Lytechinus pictus: one gene and its partners. The protein of the gene in region 1 binds, or shares a complex with, the protein of each later gene. Links are inferred from orthologs where the notes say so. Each region holds a gene or a part of one and is shown in the gene's direction. Other genes may lie near its edges.

The links.
Region 2: jouberin-like (region 1) and tectonic-1-like share a complex: the UniProt entries of both Homo sapiens proteins name them as parts of the tectonic-like complex. The link is inferred for Lytechinus pictus from reciprocal best matches to the Homo sapiens genes AHI1 and TCTN1.
Region 3: jouberin-like (region 1) and transmembrane protein 107-like share a complex: the UniProt entries of both Homo sapiens proteins name them as parts of the tectonic-like complex. The link is inferred for Lytechinus pictus from reciprocal best matches to the Homo sapiens genes AHI1 and TMEM107.

What each region holds. Positions count from the first base shown.
Region 1 is NW_026974140.1:16,630,764-16,638,531, forward strand, and holds the start of jouberin-like, read left to right. Parts: upstream 1-4,729; 5' UTR 4,730-4,796; intron 4,797-6,290; 5' UTR 6,291-6,361; coding exon 6,362-6,378; intron 6,379-7,024; coding exon 7,025-7,085; intron 7,086-7,768. UniProt on the Homo sapiens protein: Involved in vesicle trafficking and required for ciliogenesis, formation of primary non-motile cilium, and recruitment of RAB8A to the basal body of primary cilium.
Region 2 is NC_087250.1:19,610,220-19,617,975, reverse strand, and holds the start of tectonic-1-like, read left to right. Parts: upstream 1-4,747; 5' UTR 4,748-4,775; coding exon 4,776-4,998; intron 4,999-5,115; exon of another isoform or gene 5,116-5,120; intron 5,121-6,677; exon of another isoform or gene 6,678-7,466; intron 7,467-7,544; exon of another isoform or gene 7,545-7,756. UniProt on the Homo sapiens protein: Component of the tectonic-like complex, a complex localized at the transition zone of primary cilia and acting as a barrier that prevents diffusion of transmembrane proteins between the cilia and plasma membranes.
Region 3 is NC_087258.1:18,218,726-18,226,212, forward strand, and holds the start of transmembrane protein 107-like, read left to right. Parts: upstream 1-4,478; 5' UTR 4,479-4,666; exon of another isoform or gene 4,667-4,814; intron 4,815-6,102; exon of another isoform or gene 6,103-6,105; 5' UTR 6,106-6,130; coding exon 6,131-6,214; intron 6,215-6,733; coding exon 6,734-6,801; intron 6,802-7,487. UniProt on the Homo sapiens protein: Plays a role in cilia formation and embryonic patterning. Requires for normal Sonic hedgehog (Shh) signaling in the neural tube and acts in combination with GLI2 and GLI3 to pattern ventral and intermediate neuronal cell types.

The sequences.
Region 1 (7,768 bases):
CCCGATCCACTAACCCGTCTCTGTGGTCTAGTGGTTAAGGCACCGGCGTTCAAAGCTGGGGGCCCGGGTTCGATTCCCGGCAGAGACATTTTTTCGGCATCACCAATTTTTCCAAAAAGGGTAGATAGCTCTGGGGAACCTTGATTTAAGCTACGCCTACCATTGTTCTCTTCATCCATTTCTTTCACACTATATATATATATATCAGGGTTGGCGCGTTTTAAACGGTGTGTTTTAAAACATGTTTTAAAACGCGTTTTAAAACACCAGTTTTTTTTACAAAAAAAAACCTGTTTTAAAACACCGCATAGACTTGTGTGTTATAAATTTGCATGGATGTGTTTTTAGATGAATGTTTTTTTTTTTATACTGTTATTTCTTAAGTGGTGTATTATTTTCTTCTAACTAAATAAAACTCTTTTTCAATGCCACTCCTTTTCTCTTCTTTCTCTTTCTCCCTTTATTCTTTCTTTCTCCATTGCTTTGTTATGTTCCTCTTCTCCCTGTTCAATTGTGCACATCAATCCATATTAAGAATATTCTCATTTTAACAAACATATCTGAGTGTTGTGCTCACTTTTTGGACAGGGAAGGAAACATGAGCTCAAATACATGTACATGTAATAAAAGTACTTGAATGAAATGGAAGTGTTGCACAAGCACAATAATATTTTACAAATAGACTGTAAACCTGACATCATACTCTTGAGGTACACACAAAAGCAGGTATAAAACTTTGTGCTTCATAAAGATGAAGAAAAGTACTTTCTTTAAACAGTATAAGATAATCAGCTAGCAAACCTTAACCCTAACAATTCAAGGGGACCTTTATAATGTCCCCCTAAAAATGTATATGATAAATCCATAAACATGACAGGGCCACGGCATATCGTTCAAGACTATTTTGGGGATGCATGCTTGGGTATGCAGTTATGATATACACCACAAGTGCATAATCAGATCCCGAATTGCTCAAAAATGTGATTTCATGTATAAACCCAATGTGAGTTCTTGCCAAAATTGTGAGTTCTTGCCAAAATTTGTATCTGTATCATTATTTTTACTTTATTGTTAATGATTGGAAAATTATTGCCAAAAATTTCTATAAGTAATAAAAAAAAGGTTTAAAAATCTGTACATAAGAAATATAAAAAAGTTTTAGAAAACATTACCGGTAACCTAAATAGACTGGGCTATTTCGTTTCCTAAGAAGACTGAGGGTGCCCCCCCCCCACCCTTATGATCTGAGCCGTCGATCACGGGATCACAACAAAAATTGGCACGGCGTTACCCATGGCATAATCTAAAAAACTATAAATCAAATTTTGCATAAGTCTCATTGCTAATTTATGCGTAAAATCAAGTTTGCTCTATAAATAATGCCCCTGAAATGCTCATTTTTGGTTCATTCTTTGTAGGAATCTGATCAAATGTTCTTTAAAAAATTTCAAAATCACATTTATTTTTTATGTATTTTATTGTTTTTTCAATGGAAATAGTCAGGGACTATATTTTGACCATAAACAAGGTGAAATTAATTGATTTTAGTCAGTAAAGGAAAAATAATGAGACATTTATGAATTTTGGTTAAAAACACTATTTGCATTGGATTTGTACACGAATTCACGTTTTTGAGCAATTTTGGGTCTGCATGCACTTACAGAATGTTGCATAATTTCGGAACCGCATAGGTCGCAATTTTGGTCTCAAAAGTTGCGTGAGACTTGAAAAAGAAAAGTCTGAGTGACGAAGGGGGCTGAATCAGACTGGAGGGGTGCTGAATCAGCCCCCCTCCAATCTTATTAGGGCTAAAAAAAACATTCTATACTGATTTTTTTTTAATATACATTTGATCAGCATTCCTGAATTAAAAAAAAAAAAGTAGTTCAAGGTTTTTATTTATAGATTTGAACTGAATTTGAATTTCATGCACTAAAATTGGTATAATTGATTCAAATGAAATAAAGCATATTGATTTACCGGTAATGAAATTAAGCTTTGAAACCCCATGTATATCAATTTCTTCCATTGTGCAAATTCTTCTTGCCCCCCCCCCCCCCCCATTGACAAGACTCAATATACCTTGGAACTACATGTATATGTACATGTATTAGGAATGAAATGTCAATTTACTTATAAAGTGTTTTTTGTTGTTGTAGGCATTCAATTTCCATGATTTAGTGATTTGGGGGGAAATATGAACTTTTCTGTTGGAAATTCATTAACAAAATTGTGGTCATCTCTTATTTAAAACATACTGTAATAGTGTATAGTTTAATTGATTTACAGAAAATTGCATCATTCGTTGGAAATAAAATGTTTTAAAACAATAAAAAACGTTTTATTTGTTTTTTTTGATAAAAAATGTTTTTTATTACAACCCTGATATATATATATATATATAGGTCTCCTCATCATGGTTATAAAAAGTGCTCAGAATGTTTTATTTTCAAGTCCTTGTATCAGAATTTTCAGCTCGGGCAGCTCTATCGCATTTTGATTACTATCCTGTTGATTTATTTACTTGAACAAAATATTTAAAATGTCCAGCTTTTAGAACAGATATCAAAAAAAGGTATTCACCTTTGATCATAGATGAGGAAGAAGAAAAAAGTGCAAAAAAATAGGAAACAAACTAACGAATTAATGTGACATAATTTTTCTTCATTTCAAGGCGACTCTTTACATTTCATCATCGCTGATGGCGCTACAATAGAAAATACCGCTTGACAGCAAAAAAAAAACAGAAAGAGGAAAATAATGCCGAGCGTCTAAAATGCAGCTAGCAGTACAAGCTGCAGAACCGTAAACAAACATCTTGTGAATAATATCGCGCGCCCTCTTTAAGCAAAAGTTTACAACCACGATGACCCTGCGGTATCTACGTGAAGATCACGAGAAAATGCTTTTTTTTTCTTAAAAACACACCAAAGAGAAGTCAAGAAACGATCCATATGGTTCGGTAAGTGTCATAGCACAATTAGAAACATTATTTTAAAAGGAATGGCATAGTTATTTTAGTAAAAAGGGTGTGAAAAATTCGCGTGCACCATGTGCATATGAATCCTTCGCACGCGAGATGCATTGATCCCATGAGTGGGACCCGCATAGCTTTAGGGCCCCCTACCATAAAGACAACTCCGAGTCCGAACTAGAAAAAAAAGACTAACTTAGATCTAACTTAGAATTCTAGATCTAACTTAAACTAACGTTAGAGGCTGTTCATAATCATAAGAGGGTAAAGCCAATGCTTCTTCTTTGTTTGGTTTGGCTGGCTGGCAACCAGTCAAGAATGACTATTTTTGCCACTGCTTTTTTGACTTATTTGAGCTTTTTTGTTGAAAGAACTTCAGATTCTTTTCCTTTTCCTTTTTTTGATGGTTTCTTAAGTAACTTTAACTTACTTAGATCTACTGTCATCTTCTTTTCATTGTTTATTCTACTGGACCTATTTATTTTTGTTTTGTCTGTTTTTAAGCTTTCTTTCTTTTTTCCTTTTTTTTTTCTTTTCCTTTTTTTTGGCTTTTCCTTTTTTTTTTCTTTTTTGATGATCATTGCCTCTATACTTTTGGAGAATTTTGAAGGGGGATCCTATCGTCAATTTCCTTTATCATGCTTGTCAAGCAGAATGTTGCAGAGGTTTAAAGAAAAGACTTCCTTATGACCCCTCCACTAATTTAAAAAGACAGTCCCTGATGTGCGCCCGCTTAAGGGTTTTTCCCATCCTGTACCTATTTTGCACAAACTAGTTTAATCCATACATATCATATAAAAAGGACTGATGGTACTTATTTTTTTTATCGTGAAAATTGGCCGATAGCAATCGCGGTGGTCAAGATTGACCACCACTTCTGACTGCGATAGCATTCTTCTGTGTGCGGCCACCCTGTCTCCGGTGCGCGGTCCGATGTACGATTCCTATGGCGCTCCCGCAAGCTCCGTGAGGCACCGTGAGGCAGCTGCAATTCACCTTTAAACTGCGAGCGAACGCTGCTGAGTGTGCAGTTCCATTGCAAACGCATGTGAAAATAGCGAGCGTACACGCAACGGCCTCTCTTGGGGCGCTATATTTTGAGGTGTTGTTGTCGTATTTTTCATGTTTTTTACTATTTTTCGATCTCAGCATTGACTTCTGGAAAAAAATGGCGGCCGACATCGGCTCGCGAAAGTGCTAGTCTTTACCGTGGACATGTTTTCAAAATCCACGATCATCGGGAAAACCGTGAAAAATCCACTTTTTTAGACCCTTTGTTTCTTAATTACGATGTTAAGAAATACCGATGGTGATATTTTTGATGCGAGATATGGTGATTTAGGGAAGAAAATTTCACTTTTTATTCAAGATTTTGAATGTGAATGTGTACTGTACATGTTTAGAGTGTGTTGGTGATTTCAGTTGAATCTCCACTACCGTATGTCGCCTTACTCACTGAGCTAGTATGAATTGTTGAAAGCCATGGGTTATCAACCGATATTACGACTAGTCTTCTCTCCAAGAGTATTGGGTATTTATTTTTCTGACTAAATAGACTAAACCAATGCCATTTTGAATTACACACACTCGAAATTTTGACAGAATAAAGCCATATTTTGGTATGTATCCAACTTTTCCTTCTTAAATCTCTTAGATACATGTTAGATAATTCCTGATAAACCTTTTTAGTGGAGGGGACATATGGAAGTCTTGCCGGTTTAAATGCTACATTTGTAATTTGCTTTGTTCACAGGAAAGGTCAAGAAAAAGGGACGCAAACTGCCACATGATGGCAACAGCCAAGATGAGGACAGAGCGCTGTGTAAGTATCAGACTTGCACTTCAAATCAAGCAGGGACCATTGTCATTGTCATCCTGGATATCGCAATATACAGGACAATGAGTACAGTACATAACTCATTTGAGACACTTAGACCCCTCATTTGAGACACTGTACTTGTAGAGAAGAAGAGAAGATGACTCCTTTCTCACTATCATCATCTTCCTTATCTTCCTCCTCCCCTCCTCATCATTACAATCATCATGATCATAATTATGATCATCACCATAATCATAATCATCACCATAATTGTAATCATCACCATCATCATGTTCATAAGAATTGTCTTCACCATCATCATCATCATCATCATCATCAACACCATAATCATAATCTTCATAATCATCATCACCATAATCATCACCATAATCATAATCATCACTATAATCATCATCACCATGATTTGATTATAATCATTATAGTTATCATAATCATTATCCTCATCTTCTTCACAATCATTGTAATAATTGTAACCAATCACCATTTTTGTTTAAATGTTCTGCCAAGTGCAAACAGTACAATTTCCAATTAGGAGGTGTTAAAAACTTAAAGGGGAATGAAACCTTTGGAACAAGTAGGCTTGTGTCGAAACAGAAAAATCAAAGAATAAGAACAACAAAAGTTTGAGAAAAATCAGACAAATAATGAGAAAGTTATGAGCATTTGAATATTGCAATCACTAATGCTATGGAGATCCTCGATTGGCAATGCGACAAGGATGTGTGATGTCACATGTGAACAACTTTCCCTTTGATGGACTATAAAATACCCCAAAATGTCTCTTTTTGCTTTTTCTTATGATGATAGAAACTCTTTATCCATGAAGTATTCTTTAAAAAATCTGTATTACATGCCCTCCTATAGAAAGAACATATGATCCACTGATAGATGTGATAAAAGAGGCAGTTTAAGTGAAATATATACTAAAGTAATGGGGAGAGTTGTTCACAAGTGACATCACACATCTTTGTTGGATCTCCATAGCATTAGTGATCGCAATATTCAAATGCTCATAACTTTCTCATTATTTGTCTGATTTTTCTCAAACTTTTGTTGATCCGTTTCTTTGATTTTTCTGTTTTAACACAAGCTATCTTGTTCCAAAGGTTTCATTCTCCTTTAAGGATGATTAAATCTAGGATTCAGCGAGATGTATAATGTACATGTGTTGTTATTTATGTTCTTGATGTTCCCACATTTCTTCTTTGTCGCCATACTGTATAATTATTAGGGTCTTATATCTACCTAGTTGTTATGCCTGTTCCACATGGCTCTTATGATTGGACAGACTAAAAAAGTAATTAGATAGCAGTTGATTCAAAATGTTCAATCAATTTTTGATTGATTGCTCAAGCCGACATACATGTATAATGATACAGAACAGCAGTTTCATTTGCAGTAGGTTCTGTTCAGGTTCTAAAAATGTAGCAATATGTTATGATACCTGGACTAATTTTTCACGTTTGTTTGTTTAAGCTCCTCACTCAGAACATCATGAAATTCATAACCAGACACGGGCTAAATTTGATGAGCTTCTGAAGTCAGCAATGGACCAGGATGCTAGGTATTTCTATTTTATTATCAAAATAAAATACAGATGATAATGTGGCTATTTCTCAGTGTTTCTTTTGAAGCTAAACCTCTCTTATTATAAAAATTGAAATAATATTTATTACACTCTGCAGGTTAACAGAATATATTATTGAATTGCGCATTATAATTTTTACTGTGATATATTGATTACATTATTGTTATCAATGAAAATGATAATATCATTTTTATTATCATTATTATGATTGTCATTATCATTGCTATTATTTTATTACGGTACTCTATTTAGTTGAGCTGCCAATGATATAAATTGATACTGCAATTTTCTAATTGAAAACAATTTTGAATATTGAAAGTTAAGAAACATTCTTGTATGTTTTTTTGCTCATATCAAACAGATAGCTCTGTCAAGTTCTTAATCCTTATTGTCTTACTTTATGTCTAGAATACATTAGTATGTATGGTATTTATGCCATTGACAGAACTCTGGCTTATATACATTTCTGAGTTCAAAATTTCAACTTCTCAAAAGTAGTTTGTGTTAAATTCAATTCTTATTTAGTTATAGTTACATTAGACAATCAAATAGTGTTGAGATTATAAGTACATCATAAATAAACTTTTTATGAGAATATTATCCTATTTTTTAATTTCCTTAGTGGTTCTGGAAAAACTTCAAAGAAGAAGAAGAAGGCTAGATCACAAACAGCAGATGCTATGGTAAGTTCATATTTGAAATATTTGTATTGTTACCTTTGGCAGGATTAACATTGCACTTGGTAATTTTTTTTTATATGCATTCATGTCATGATATATAATACATAACAAAAAATTAACTTTTTATATTCAATTAAAAAAAAAATATCACACTTCATTTGTTGAAAATCAGAAATACAAATATTACAAATTTTACATCCACAACTGATTTTCAATAAGCTTCAGATTATACATTTTAGAAAGTTGTTTTTCTGATAGATTTTAGAGTACCAGTAACTGATATGGAGGATCATGTTGTAGTGGTTCTGACTCTTGTTTTAACATCAGAGAAGTGTGTGTTCGAATTTCACTGCGGCTTTATACTGATCTTTGGCAAGGCATCAATCCACACTCTCTTCCCAGGTGCTAAGTGGTTACCTAGTAAGAGGGGATATCCAATGTAGAATACCTAGCAATTGAGTTTAAAACTCTTGTTAGAATGCTAATTAGTGAGTGGAAAAAGTACATACATGTACATCATGTTAGGGTTAGTCAGTATCAAATGACAGGGATGATAATAATATATCATTATTATCAATAAAGTTTGTAGATACACTATTCTGATAAAAGTGTTATTATTATTAGTGTTGTTGTTATTATCATTATTATTTAGATTTAGGATTATTATGCTATATATTTTCCAGATA
Region 2 (7,756 bases), on another chromosome or scaffold:
GCCTTTAAGGTATCAAACACCTATGCTTATCTATTTTATCTTTACAATAGAAAATAGTTAATTATTATCTTCTTTTTTTGTCGAAGGCAAGCAAAGAAAACTTACTATTTTTGTGATGACTTATGCATTTAACTTTTTTTATGAAAATGGGGAAATGATGCATAAAAGAGAGGAATGAAGGGAAGGAAAAGTACAACGGTGGGGTGGGTCGTGTCACTTATAATTCAATTGAGAAAAATATAATGTTATGTACCTTTTGCTCGTCAAGCAAATATTTCAAGGTATCAAAATACGCCTCTAAATGTAACCATCTCCCGAAATGTGATATAGATTACTGTAATACTATATAGAGACCACATCAAGAGAGGGAAAATTGCACAATGATATTTTGAGGGTTAGAAATGTTATTTTATAACCAATTCAAGGTATAAAGAAAAATTATGCTTGTGCATCATAGTTTCAGAAATGGCATTCTCCCAAATCACAAAAAAAAAATCGGAAACCACATAATATGACCTTTTTTGTTTATCTTTATACGACTTATTTGGAAATATAAACAAATAACCATCTGTAGATCTGCATATAAATTATATGCTATACTTTTTTTTTATTCCTCTTTGATTTTATTGACGCTTCGGGATTCAAATATGAAAATGCAGCGAGACCCGCTAATGAGGAAAATTTTTTGTTGTTGAATGAATACACCACAGGGCCGTGGAATGGTTTTGAAAGCGGGAAGGGGGATATGCTTTCGATGCAAAAAAAAATCACAATCGATCAGATGGTCATTTTAAGGTTTTGTACATGGTTTTGGGAAGGGGGGGGGGGGCTGAAGCTCACCCAGCCCCCCCCCCCCCCCACCGGTTCCGCGGCACTTGCACCAACTGAATATTATTTGTGGATTATTTTGTGATCCTTATTAGATTGCTTTACCATATCAGGATATGCAGTGGCGGTGCTTAGGTGTTTTTCATCTTCCACACCCCCACACACACGCACAATTTTTTCAGTTAACGTGTACACAAATGCAAAAAATACCATTATTAAACGGTTTACATTTGTGAACTTCTCCCTCTAAACTTTATGCGTACAGCCTCCCCCTTCTAAACTGTTCCTCATTATATTTTTATACGAGAGAGCAACCTGAGCGACGGTAGCATTCCTTTATCACAAAAAAACAGTGATCAGTAAAAACGTACATATCAAGGGTTTCTGCCCAAAATGGCTTGATTTTGGCACTATTTCGAGTAGAAAACATTCATTGTTCTCCCTTCAAATGAAGAAAGGGATAAAAAAAATATATGATTTTATTCAGTTGCCATCAAGCATATAGGGCCTATATATTAGAGCCCCAAAAACTGAAACTTTCATTTATGCTGTAGTATTTTTGTTTTATTGTACATAGCAAGGGAAACTTGCCAATTTGGAATATTCATGACGATGTGCATATAAATGTTTTTCACAACATATTGATAAATTTTTAAATTCAATAACTTTGTTATTTTGTTATCCGATTTTGATCAAATTTTGTGCATTTTACTTTTTGAATTTTACTTTTTTTATTCAGATATAAATATTTTCAGCCCGGACCATCCCTTTAATTTTTCTTTATTCAGTTCAGTAGCGTAAGGAACAAAGAAATATATTTGAAAAATAGAGGGGCAAAAAGAGTGGATGGGGCCAATATTTGAAAAAAAGATCTCGCAAGTTAGCAAAACGAACGATCTTTCTAGGAAAAACTATGATGTTGTATTAATTTTGACGATATATTAAAAAAATATTATCATAATTCGGTCATTTCCATTTCCTGTTCTTTTTTTATACTAATTTTCTTGGTGATAGAACTTAATGGGGCGCCACGGGCCCTAACCCCCCCCCCCCCCCCCCCCCCCCCCCCATCTGTACGTTCCAGTAATTTATTTCCAATCTCCAAGAGTTTCATTCTTACTTGCCAAAAATTGATCGACCCTGAACTAATTTTCAAAGTTAAACTCCTGCGGGCATGTTATATATATTTCATTTCATTTATTTCCATATCCAACAACAAAAAATCAAGTAACATAGTAGGCCTATTAATCGACCAGTTCGTAGTTACCTCATGGACAATTTTCGGTCAAATGACCTTTCATTTCTTTCATGATGATAGGCAGATTTCAAAGCAAAATATTACGTAAGCTTGCCTTACATAGCAGGATGAAGAAATTGAATAGACCAGGTGACTAGAATAGCACACCAATGAACACTTTATGAAGGTATTTGTACGGTTGCATTCCTACTTTGAATGCATATCATAGCATGTTGCACAATGTACTTGGCAAACTATGAAAACCCCCGGTGAAAACCAGTCGTTCGTGGACGCGTTGTTGTTTTTTGTGGATGTAAATGAAAACCACAATTCAAAAGAATATATGAATAATCAAGACATCAAAGTTGGTGCTTATCTCATTAGATTTTAAACCACCATGTCACTTTAGTACAAATAACCTTCCTCTGATCATGCGTAGAATCTTTTGATCATGCGCAGAAAGGATTAACTACGAACTGGCTTAAGTAAAACAGTGTAAAACATTGAAATTAATATTATGTATATAGGCCTACATAGGCAGGAGTTGGTAACTGGGCTCGTAGATCATTTAGATGCACCGGGAGATTGCAGTCCCTTTAAAATTGTATTTGTCTTCGTGCATAATAGTAGAATGATTATCATGATTATCATGACCAGGGGCCCGTTGCAGAAAGAGTTGCGTTTAAACGCAAGTCAAAAAATCAATCGCAAGTCCCAAATGCGCGCTGTTGATTGGTTGAAAATCAAGTTACGCATGATTTTTAGAGTTGCGATCGATTGCAACTCTTTCTGCAACGGGCCCCAGTATACTCTTGTAATAAAGTAAGTTATTCTGCTTTACCACTGGCAAAGGTGTGTAGGCCTATAGGCCTGAGTACACATGGGGGTTATAGTTCCATGACCCCCTCCCCCATACAAAAATAAGATAGAGAAAGGGAAAGAAAATGAGACCCAATACATGAAGTTTCGGATTTATATATTTTTTTCATATTATTTCGTCAAAATCTGTCACAAAATTATATCTTTTAATAAAAAAAAGAAGCCATACTTTATAGCTCACATTCAAAACAAATAGTTTGCCACGCAGGGTATACGATACTGCCTCTGAAAATTGTTGGTTTATTAAACATAAAGTGGGACTTGTTTATTTGGTGCCCGATCGACCCTATACTTTATTTCAAAACAGGCCTAAATGAGCCCCCACGGCAATTACACATTATGGTATGATTCAGAGGCGTCGATCCTGGGGGGCAGGGGGGCGATCGCCCCACCAATAAAAATATTTGGGGGGCAAACATATCGTTTTGCCCCCCAATAATTCCGCATGTGCAAAACATAAAATAAGATTGTAATGTTACACAGATATCAGCAAGCAAGATTGAGATACACAACTATTTCTTTATTTAAAAATCATGCTCAAATTGTCCGCTTTTCCGATTGGAATATAAAAAAATTTCAGCTCGCGCTTTGCGCTCGCATCATTTCTGTAGCAAAAACCCATACTTTTCATTATTAAATAGATGAATAGAACGTCCCGTTTTTAGTTCTAAACCTCAAAATAACTCCCGCTTCGATTTGCAATAATCTTTTTTTGGATATATGTCTTGTTCTTTATTTAAAACGTCCATTAAAGTAAAAAAAATTCAGATCAAAATATCAAAATTTTCAGCTCGCGCTTCGCGCTCGCATCTATTGTTTTTTAAGATACCCATCATAATCATTGGTACCAAGCAAGAAATTTCTACTCGCGCTTCGCGCTCGCATTAATTTGTTGGTGAGAAATGTGTCTCTATCTCAGTCATGAGTCATTATATATATACACACACACACACACACATATATATATACATAATATTTGTGTGTGAGTGTGTATACACACTCACACACACACACATACATATATATATATATATATATATATATAGGCATGTGTGTGTGTGAGTTTTTTTGTTTTGTGTGATCGAGCGCCTTTGGAAAGTTGATTCATGATTTTGCCCCCCCCCCCAATCTGAAAAAGGGATCGACGCCCCTGGTATGATTAACTGCCGTCGAAGACCCCATGCATACCTTACTGATTTTCATGATGCCCCGCATTGCGCACAACAACAAAAAACGAGAAAAAAAAAAGAATTGAGCTCATTCAAAGAATGGAGGCGCCGAATTTTCAAATACACCAGTAATATACAGTTGGCCGAATCAGGGGTGGATCCAGGATTTTCCAAAGGGGGGGGGGCACATTTTCCAGAGGAAAAAAATTGACAAGCAAAAAAAAAAGGTATTTAACCAAAAATTAAGGACAAAGTTACATTTTGCCCACGAAAAAGTTTGAAAAGCATAAAAAAAAAAAAAAAAAAAATTCACTTTAAAAACTTATGTTTTAACGGCATTTCTACATTAAAAAAATTAATTTTGCCTCTCAAGCCCCCCCCCCCCCTACGGGCCGCTAGTGGGAGTAATTGTAATTTTTCAAAAAGAAGAAAATAAAATCGTAAAGATACACATGCACAAATTAAGAATTGATATTTTTTTATTTTTTATTATCATTATAAGTTTGCAGCCAAGGAATCAATAGGTCAATATTCTTCCGGCTGGTGGTGTGTTTTATTATTTTATTATTATCATTATTATTATTATTTGTTGTTGAGGGGCGTAAATGAACCCCCCGGCCCCGCCCCCAACGCTGATATTATTATTCATAACCACAGACAAGATGGCGGGGTTGCCAGCAGACGCCAAAATAGTTTTGATTCTCTTCTGCGCTGCGGTACAGATTTTTCCTTCAACTGCTCAGACAACACCCACAGGTATTCAACAAAGCACAAACAACCCAGTATCAACAGCAACCACCCAAAATGCCCAAACAACACAGACTCAGCAACAAACAACGACTAATCCGCCGACTTTGCCTTCAACAGAGGTGCCCGCGAATACAGGTAAAGAGTACGTAGATGATATGCGTGGTCCCATATATTGACATTTGTGTGTTTCAGTTAACCAAAGTGCGCATGAAGCCATGTAGACAATTCTTTAGTGTTAAAAAAGGGGGAAGTTCACCCTGACGAAAGTAAAAATAAGCAGAATTTTAAGTCTAATAATAATTTAAAAAATATTGGTGAAGTCAAGTGAAGGTTTGAGAAAAAAAGATTAAGAAAGTTTACAATAATACAAGTCCAAGACAAGTACAAGTTGACAACTTCATTTTTTTTATTTTTGATGTAAAAAAAACAAGCAGCTGCCCCATAACTTATCACATAAAATGCAGAAAATTTCATTTTTTTAATGGTTCATGATGACTTATGATGGGGTGACCGTATTTAGTGCACATATTGGTTTTCTTGACAATTCCAAGACACCTAGATTAGATTATATACCCTTAAAAAACGTCCAATACCTCAAAAGAACAAGAATATCTTATCTCACATTTCATGGCTTGGAATTCAAACTTCAGATTAAAATCAATGTAATTTCAAGAAATTTGTAACGCCTACCGACTTCATAGTCTGCTCTGCTCACATGTGTGACCTAAGTTTGTTGCCCTTTTGTGGTCGACAACAAGTGTCAAAACGCTCGATAACCACCTCGTATTGTCCAGCACATACCAGCCATTTGAGTAAAGTTCGAAATAGGCAATACTATTATTTTTTATTGATATTTTTCCAGGTTGAGAATAGGCTTGTGCAATATCATGGATAATAATCCTCTGTATACACATCAATGACCGTCTTATCAATAGATTGCTCGTTGCTGAAAATTTTAGGATTGGGAGGAGGTAGGCGCCGGGCAAGGGCCAAATGATTGATTTTAAAATTCAAAGACATTTTTCTCAAAATCATGCCAAAAATTTACTTCTCATTTCCATCATATTCAATTTCACCATGCAAATCATTTTGTTATTATTTTTTTTTACTTGCTTTTAAGATTATATATTTAGGCCTTCATTATAAGTAAAAGCTATTTTTTCACAAAAGGCGTGCCCCCACAATCATCACCACTGTCACTACATTTATCATCCCATTTTCATCATCATTACCACAATTTCCATTGTATAATATGACTACAGGATCTATTCATTATATCATTATCAACATTTCTCACAAAAAATTCACATCATTGTCAACTTCTTTCGGGGCAAAATCATTAGACCCCCCGCCACCCATTCTTATTGTTTTGTTTATTGGGGAATGAAATTTATTAAGGGAGAATGAACATGTTCTCTTATCAGCACACTTAATTCATGGCCACATGAACACAGCAAAGGAGAATGAAGAAAAGACACTAAGTTATCATTTGTATATTCAACTGAATTTCTTGTTTTCATTTTCTTTTTTCATTTTCCATTTACAAATCTCCTTTTTTTTTTCAGAAATAAAAATTGTTTACATATTCATATATTCACATATTTTACATATTAACATATATATATATATATTTACATATTTATATATTCATATATTTACATATTTGCATATTCACATAATTACTTATTCATATATTTATATTCATACATATCAACATATATTTCATTGTTCCGTCTCACAAGGGAACCTGAAAAAAAAAAAAATGTGTTGCCAATTTGAACTTGTCCGGCCCAACCAGTGTTTGCAGGAGTCACATTCTGCCCAGTTAATGACAGTGCCCATGTCAGAGGCTGATGGTGGATCGTCCAAATGGCACTGGCAACAACGTTCGTCATCATCTGATCTATCCTCAGAAATGCGAGTCTGGGTCGTCTGCTCGATGGTGGAAGAACGGTAGATCTGCAGGAAGATTCTGTTTCCATGATGGCTACCCCTCTGACTATTCTTTGAAGGTGGAGAAGGCTTCTTGGTCACTAACGATGCCTCCATAGAGCTTGTTGATGGGGGATGAACCGGATGAGGGGTGTTGGCATTGGTGATTGCACTTGGTCTCATCGTCCTCTCGATCTCTACTGCTTCGGGGTCAAATGGGCAGATTCCAGACTTCCTAAATGCTGCCTTGAGGTTGTCCTCTCTCATCGCCTGTAGGTATGCGTGACTGATTAGGCTTGTCATGTCAAATCTAGAGATTGACCTTCCAGGATGCTTGGAGAGGAAATCTGTGCACTGACTGTTGAATTGTGCCTTCATCGGATCGAAGCAGCCGACGTCGAGAGGCTGGAGAATGTGACTTGTGTGAGGGGGAAGAAGGAAGAGTATCACGTTGTGCTTCTGGGCTTCTATGAGGGGAACAGTTATGTGGCTTTTGTGTCCATCATACAGTAGGAGAACTTGTTGCTCAGCTTCCCGGTCTGGCAAGGATCGGATTAAATGCTTGCTCAGGAACCGACTGAAGACATCACCATTACTCCACCCACTGTCCGTCATCTTGAACCTGCTGCCTGGTAATGATTCCCAAGTCAGCTCTGCCATCAAGTTCTTCCCTTTAAATACAATATAGGGTGGCAATGACGATCTGTCAGCTGATCCTCAGGCAAGGAGTGTTATGGTTGCTGAGCGACAGGAAACGATTGAAGGCGACCTCAATGGTGAATGCTCCTGGTTGAATCCTGTTTCATCAACTTTGTATATGAACCTAGGTTTGTCCTTTAGGTCATACTTTATCAGGATCTTGTCCAGTTCTTGGTAGTATCAGGCAATCCTCTCCGGTGTTGTGGATATTGCCGTAGTGATAGCCAACAACCTTGGGCGGATGACTTGGAGAGCTGGCCAT
Region 3 (7,487 bases), on another chromosome or scaffold:
CTAGAGATATGAATATTCATGAGCAGGTATTGATGTAATTTGGTCTCAAGGTGGCGCTCTTCATTTTTTATGTTAGTTTTAAAAATAAATAAAAAAAAGCTCACTCGGCAAATCTTCTCATCTTTATATATTTTTTTGAGAATAAAAACAGTTCTTTCTAGCCAATGCAATACATTGTATGGACTCAGAACTTGTTTATGAATATCGTGGAAAGCAAAGAGTGAAATTTAAAAGAAAGTTTTGAAATAAACCAATGACACAATTTACCTTTAAGTACAATATTTTTTTTTCTCACCTGTGATTCATGGTTCCATACATGTACGTTACCATTGTACAAACTGACAAGCATCCATGGCTCAGATGGATGAAGGTCAACGCACTTTACACGGTCAGACCGTGCTGAAAGCTTTCGCTGAAGGGGAAATATATACAGATATAATTATCATATACTGCTTTTATATACATGTCGTACTTATCACATTGTAACAAAGTCAGGAACGAACGAACAAACAGATTAGGAGTAGATAAAGGACTTTACGAAGTAGAAACAGAGATCTTTTTTGAGATATTGTTTCAAAACATGCAGTTATGTAATTGGTTTGCAGAGGGGTGTCAAAGACTTCATGTAATTTTCTTAAAGTTTACTGAAGTATGTGATCAATTTTCTTTGACTATGTCACACTCACATTTAACATGCATGGGGAAAAAAAAATTCCCCCAAAATAAGAAACCCAAATTGTACAAGAATAGCATTACTCATGATTGATAAGTCCAAATTTCATAAAATATTAATATTCTTTTAATTTAAAAAAATCCTCAAAAATCTTAAACCCTTGCTTGAAAAAATACATGATATTTTTATCACATAAAATATTCACATGTTTCACTAAAATTAGTAATTTATTACAGGTGCATAGTATACACTGATTTTGGCTTTCAATGATAAAGATATATTTTCAAAACATGCATTGTGTTACTGCAAAAAACAACAACAGAAAAAGGTGGAAATAGATTTCTTACCTTTATATCCAATCTAAGAGGCTGTCATGTGAATAAAAAAAAGGAATGAACATAATTATAAAATGTTTACAAATGCAAATTCCTGTAGGATACAGTGTACTAAAATGATAAGGCATGGGTCAAAATAAGAAGTTCTGATAAAAATTCTCATTTGAAAATAAGTGGTCTGTCTATCCCTGTTTGCAATCAAGAAAATGAATTTCTAATATCACAAAATGACCAAAGCCATTTGCACTTTGCAGCATCTAGTCAAAACTTAGAAATCTTTTGTGCAGCCTGGAACAATAACGAGCAAAAAACATTGCATCTCAAACATTATCTGAGGGTACACAAGATCAAGTGTAATTTAACACAGCAATCCATGGGTTAGAAAGCTTAGCGACTGATCATGGGGCTAATATCTAATTTTATGATTTATTCCATTGATTACTCGTAAAATCAGCCCCTTGATCAATCACTATCAAAGCTTTTTGTTACATACTGTACCGGGCCCTGAGCAGAGAAAGAGTCTTTTTGAAATTTTCATCAGAGATTAGTAAGAATAACACACAAGGTGGGAGTTCATAAAGCTGTTCGTAAGTTAAAGGTCAAGTCCACCCCACAAAAATGTTGATTTGAATAAATTGAGAAAAATCAAACTAGCATAATGCTGAAAATTTCATCAAAATCGGATGTCAAATAAGAAAGTTATGACATTTTAAAGTTTTGCTTACTTTTCACAAAACAGTGATATGCACAACTCAAATGGGACTGTCGATGATGTCCCTCACTCACTATTTCTTTTGTTTCTTATTGTTTGAATTATACAATATTTCATTATTTATAGATTTGACAATAAGGACCAACTTGACTAAATCATATAGTATTAAATAATGATAACTCCACATGTTCAGGGAGGAATTAATTGTTGTTTCACTTGACAATGAGAAGAAAGTTAGAATATTTCATACAATAAACTACAAAAGAAATAGTGAGTGGATGACGTCATCAGTCTCCTCATTTGCATACCGATCAGGATGTACATATGACTGTTTTGTGAAAATAAGCAAATTTTTAAAATGTCATAACTTTCTTATTTTACATCCGATTTTGATGAAATTTTCAGTGTTATGCTTGTTGTATTTTTTTCTCTTTTTATTCAAATCAACTTTTTGTTCAGGTGGAATAGTCCTCTAAGAGTGACTTTAAGAACGACTGGTGAAACTTTCTTACACTCTAAATAATCACCAATGAACATTTAATGGTCAATATCATTTACCACAAGAAAGGATCACCAGTCGTTCTTAAAGTCGCTCTTGACTGATGATCAGCTTTATGAAACGGCCCCCTGGGGGGCGTTTCACAAAGATTTAAGTATGACTTGAGTCGCACTTAAATGCCGACACGTACATGATATGCGATCTTATTGATAATAAATACGCAGTAGTGCGCGTCCTCATGACACGATATGGCCAATGCGGTCAAGTCTTTCATACCGTACGCAACTTGGTATTTAAGTGCGACTCTAAGTCATACTTAAAACTTTGTGAAACACCCCCCTGCTTGATAAAAATTTCAAAACCATCACAGAGCTTTATATAACTCGGGATCATGTTACTTGACAACAATGAAAGTAACCACTCTTGAAAGAAATAAGGATCTAAGTCTATGATATCTATCTCACACTAATCATCTGCAGTTCAAAGGACAGAACTAAACTGTTTTGTTACTTTGTCACAAGATTACTCAAAAAGTAAGAGTGAAATTAAATAGAGTAACACGCCCAAAATTCGACAAGTGCCGAGATTCGACATGGCAAACCTATTTCACAAGCCAGCACAGTCACAAAAACACACACCAAACACATTTTTATAAACATAGGCACTATCACTTGCCACCAAAAAGTCCTGATTTTAACAAAAAAAAATCCCCTTTAAAATGTCAAAAATTTCCCTTGAAATGCGGAATATTCACCATATATCCAGAGCATTTGGCGGCTTAGCTCAGATTTAAGAAGCGGGGTCGCCGAAAAATGTGTCAAAAATAAAGAAATCCTTGGTTCTGCTCCGAGTACGATAACTTTCTCGCAAATTTAGGATCGTATCTTCAAAATTTCCAATCAAAAAAGAAAAAGAAAGAAAAATTCAACGGCATTGAATTTGCACAGAATTCTTTGAAGTCAAGGCATGCTTGCAGGTCGCCTTCATTCGACAGGGGCCCCGATCGCAATGCGTGAGCGAATGACCGCTGCAACTTCTGGGTTGCACATCGCATGCGATGCGGCGCAATTCAGCGGCTCTCGCCTTGCATTTTTGAGCGCGCGATGCGCTATGTCGTACGAAGGGCAGGGGATGTCGAATCGAAACATGGCGATACATTTCAAGATTTTATGTATTATTCAGATGGAAATTGAAAATGAACATTGCAAATTTGCAATTAAAGATAGACAAATATATTTAACAAACATTGGTGCAAATATCATTTTGTGAAAAGAAATTTTAGAACAAAAAAAATTGCAGAAGAGCTTAACATGTCGAATCTTGGGCATAAAAGAAAATTGTGAATTCATGAAAATTGCCAACGGGCAACGTTACCAATTGCCAATGTTGAAACTGAACACCTTTTTGGCTTTCGTTAGGTCTAACTCTAACTTTACAATAAATAGTTACACTACTCTACAGTATGCAGTGTACTACAGGCTGCGTTTTTTTGTAAAATAATATTTATTCTGTTCTTGCTCAAGCCAACAATAATTCTTGCCCGGCACACTTTGCAAGAATTACTTAGGAGTTAGGGCATATCAAATTTCAATGAAACTTCATGAACTTTGCCTTAGTTTGGCACTAAATGACAAATGATTTTCTAGATCTAAAATTAATTCTAATCATTCCAAGTAATTTCTATTTCTAATAATGCAGTTTAAACTTTAATTTCACACCGGCCAAAACTTTCATAGAATATTAACAAATTTCATGTTTAATCTTCAGTCCAATTATAATGTCAATGACCTCTTCTTCTGCCTCAGCTCAGGCCTTCACAAATGATTGAAATGCACAAGCGGCTACCTGGCCCTACAATGTAGCTACGGCTACGTGCGTCTGCTTCAATGGGTACAGTGCCCGTCGTCTCCCCCAGCGGAACGGCCCATGCCATGGTAAGGATGAGGCTAGAAAAACTCCATAAGCATCGGCCATCTCCGCCGCGACGAAAAAAAAGACAAATCAACATCTTTTTACTCAATTATACTCCGTGTCCACACCCTCCATTCGTGAATAGTTTTACAAACACACAATTATCCACTTAAATAATGGAAAATTATTAAATAAAAGATAACAACTTACCATGGTATTTTCGATTTAAATTTATCAAACGTGGCACTTACACACAAGTTCCAACATCATCAATGGGAAACCGAAGCTCCGTGAACTTTGTCCGATCATTAACTTCCGGGAACGGTTTCTCAAACTCGTCCTAAATCTAGCTTCTGATATTATCGATAGAAACTCGCGTATGCAACCAACATAAGGTTGCGAACTTACACTTACAAATCTTTTGTGAAACAAATCCCTGCTCCTGTCGAAAAGTGTGAGCGTCCATGGTTTCACGATCCAGATTTGGATTCAAGCAGCTGAATAAAAGGGTCTAAATCCACTTGCAAACGCCCTAGGTAAGTATTTTAGATTTTTTTTTAGATTTGAGCCTTAATACAGTCATCACAGAAACATATCACTCGGGATAGAGACAGGGCCCCAGACTCAGAGGCTCAGCTTCCCAGCTTAGCCAGGGCAGGGTCAAGACGATTCGGAACGGGGAAGCTCCGCTGCTGTCACCGGCCAAACCGGCGGTGCGTGGACGAGCCTCTGGGTGATGGTCCTCTTATTATAAAGTCTTATTTGAATTTAACCCAGGGAGCTCCGGCCCGCACAGCGGGCCGGAGCCCAGGGGCTTACTGTGTATTTGACCATACTCACGGGACTAGCGTGATTTATGGTCTGAATAATAATATTTCTCCAAATGAATTGTGAAAACAGAAATTATGCACTTACCACGATTAATTTATATGGATGAAAGTCTAACGAGTGGCAGTTTCCTGACATCGAGGCACAGACTGGAACTTAAAAAAAACGAAAAGTTCTCTCCTTCTACCCCCGTCTCGATCGGCCATTTTTGTTATGAATCGTAACAAAATGGCCGATCGAGACTGGGGTAGAAGGAGAGAACTTTTCGTTTTTTTTGAAGTTCCAGTCTGTGCCGCGATGTCAGGAAACTGCCACTCGTTAGACCTTCATCCATATAATCGTGGTAAGTGCATAATTTCTGTTTTCACAATTCATTTGGAGAAATATTTAGACCATAAATCACGCTAGTCCCGTGAGTATGGTCAAATACACGGTAAGCCCCTGGGCTCCCGCCCGCACAGCGGGCGGGACTTCCCTGGGTTAATTTGAATTTGGCCCTGGCTGGCATTGCCAAGGCCAGGGCGTTTTGCAATTTCTTACTTTTAGCCATGGCTTGGCCTTGGCAAAACTATTTAATGTAATTTTTTACAATTTAATTTGATTTTGAGCCAAATTTCACCAGGCACAGCTTAAAATCACGTATTTGATTTGAGCTGAAAAAAGGCAAAAAAATTGAACGTTTGGAAATTTTTTCATGACATTGTGACGTCGTCTTGGTACTTGGTAGGATTCTTATTCCATAATTATTTATATTCCTTTTAATTTTGCTGTGTAACTGGTGTAGACGTGTAGTTCTCTGGTATCTGAAGATATTGTTTTTCTTGCTGTTGATTCTATCTTTGAAAATACTATTAGGGCTAAGTTAGATCTTTTACTTTCTAATTCTAACATTAGGATAATTTTATTGGGAGTTGATGGAAATAAATGAATAGATAATGAAATTAAATCTTTTACTTTAAGCTAAAGTTGTCTTTTTGGATTTTCTTTCTGCAGGCTCTCATTGTCATTTTCATACCATGCAAAGAATAAAATCAGCTCAGAATTTACTCTAGCAGTGAATATTCGTATATAAAGTATATAAAAACATTTTTGATGTTTTAAAATGTAATGTATGATTTCTTCTTTTATGTTCTTAATGATCCAGTAGAATTGGTGGATAGTCCTAAATCCTAATGGCTTTAACAAATCTGATCCCAGCCCGTTTCCTGTGCCTAATTGCTCATCTGGTTATCACTGTCACTCTCATATGGTCACGGGTAGGTAACAAAAATTCTTTTCCAGTTGAAACGAGATTAAGAACAACTGAGTAATTGTTCGCTTATTAATTGTTAACATTTTGTTGTTACTGATTACAGTGTTATTGGTAAAATGTAGCAGAAGTAAAGAACTAGAAGTGGTGTGGTGGTTGTGGTGGAGGAGGACTACAACGACTTTAACTTTGTGAAAGTACATGACGATATTGCAAAAATGAATTGATAGATTTCCCATATTGGATTGAAATTTTTAAGGAAATGTACAGGAAATAGAGTTTGAAATATACACATCACCTCATTGGTCAGGTTATACATGTGCATTACTTTGTTCATTTATGTGGAAAAAATGACTTAATCATACTTACATATACCTCTTTGTGAAAACCCCTCTGAAGAGTTTCCTATTATTTAAAGCAAGACAATCCATTTTCGTAAAAAAAACTTTGCTAAAAATGTCACAAGATATGAATGTTATCAATATTAAACAATTATATTATTTTCCTTTTTCAATTTTTTTTGTAGGATGCTAATGTACGAGCCTGCCTACCTGAAACCTACACAGATACAGAGTACAATTCAGTAGATGTGGCGTGAGTATTTTCATTTCCCTGTGTATATCTTATTAGTTGATCTTATTTTGCAGCCTCCCCCCCCCCTCCCCCGACACAGTCTTTTATCCTCTGATAATGCTCGTCTTGGTAAATAAAACAGATGAATGAATTATGAATATATTATGGCAGGTGATGAAAACAGCTTCATTTATTTCAGATTGGTAGTCATCAGATGAAAATAGATATTTTTATGTTGATACATTAAGCAGAGATGAAATTTCTATGTTGTGAACATAAATGAGCAGTTCCTTTTACTTATTGTGAGTAGAAAGAGTGAGTAAGTGTCTGTCACATCCTTCTACTCCTTTTCTCTCCCCTCCCCTCTCCTTCCTCATCCTTCTCTTCCTCTTCTTCCTCCTCCTCCTCTTCCTCCTCCTCCCCTGTTCATATTCTTCCTCCTCTTCTTCTTCCTCCTCCTCCCCCTGTTCCTATTCTTCATTCTCCCTCCTCCTCCTCCCCCTGTTCCTATTCTTCCTCCTCTTCTTCCTCCCCCTGTTCCTATTCTTCATCCTCTTCTTTCTCCTCCTCCTCTTCTTCCTCCTCCACCTCCTCCTCCTCCTCCCCCCTGTTCTTATTCTTCATCCTCTTCTTTCTCCTCCTCCTCCCCCTGTTCCTCCTCTTCCTCCTCCTCCTCCCCTTCCTCCTTTCCTGTTCATATTCTTCCT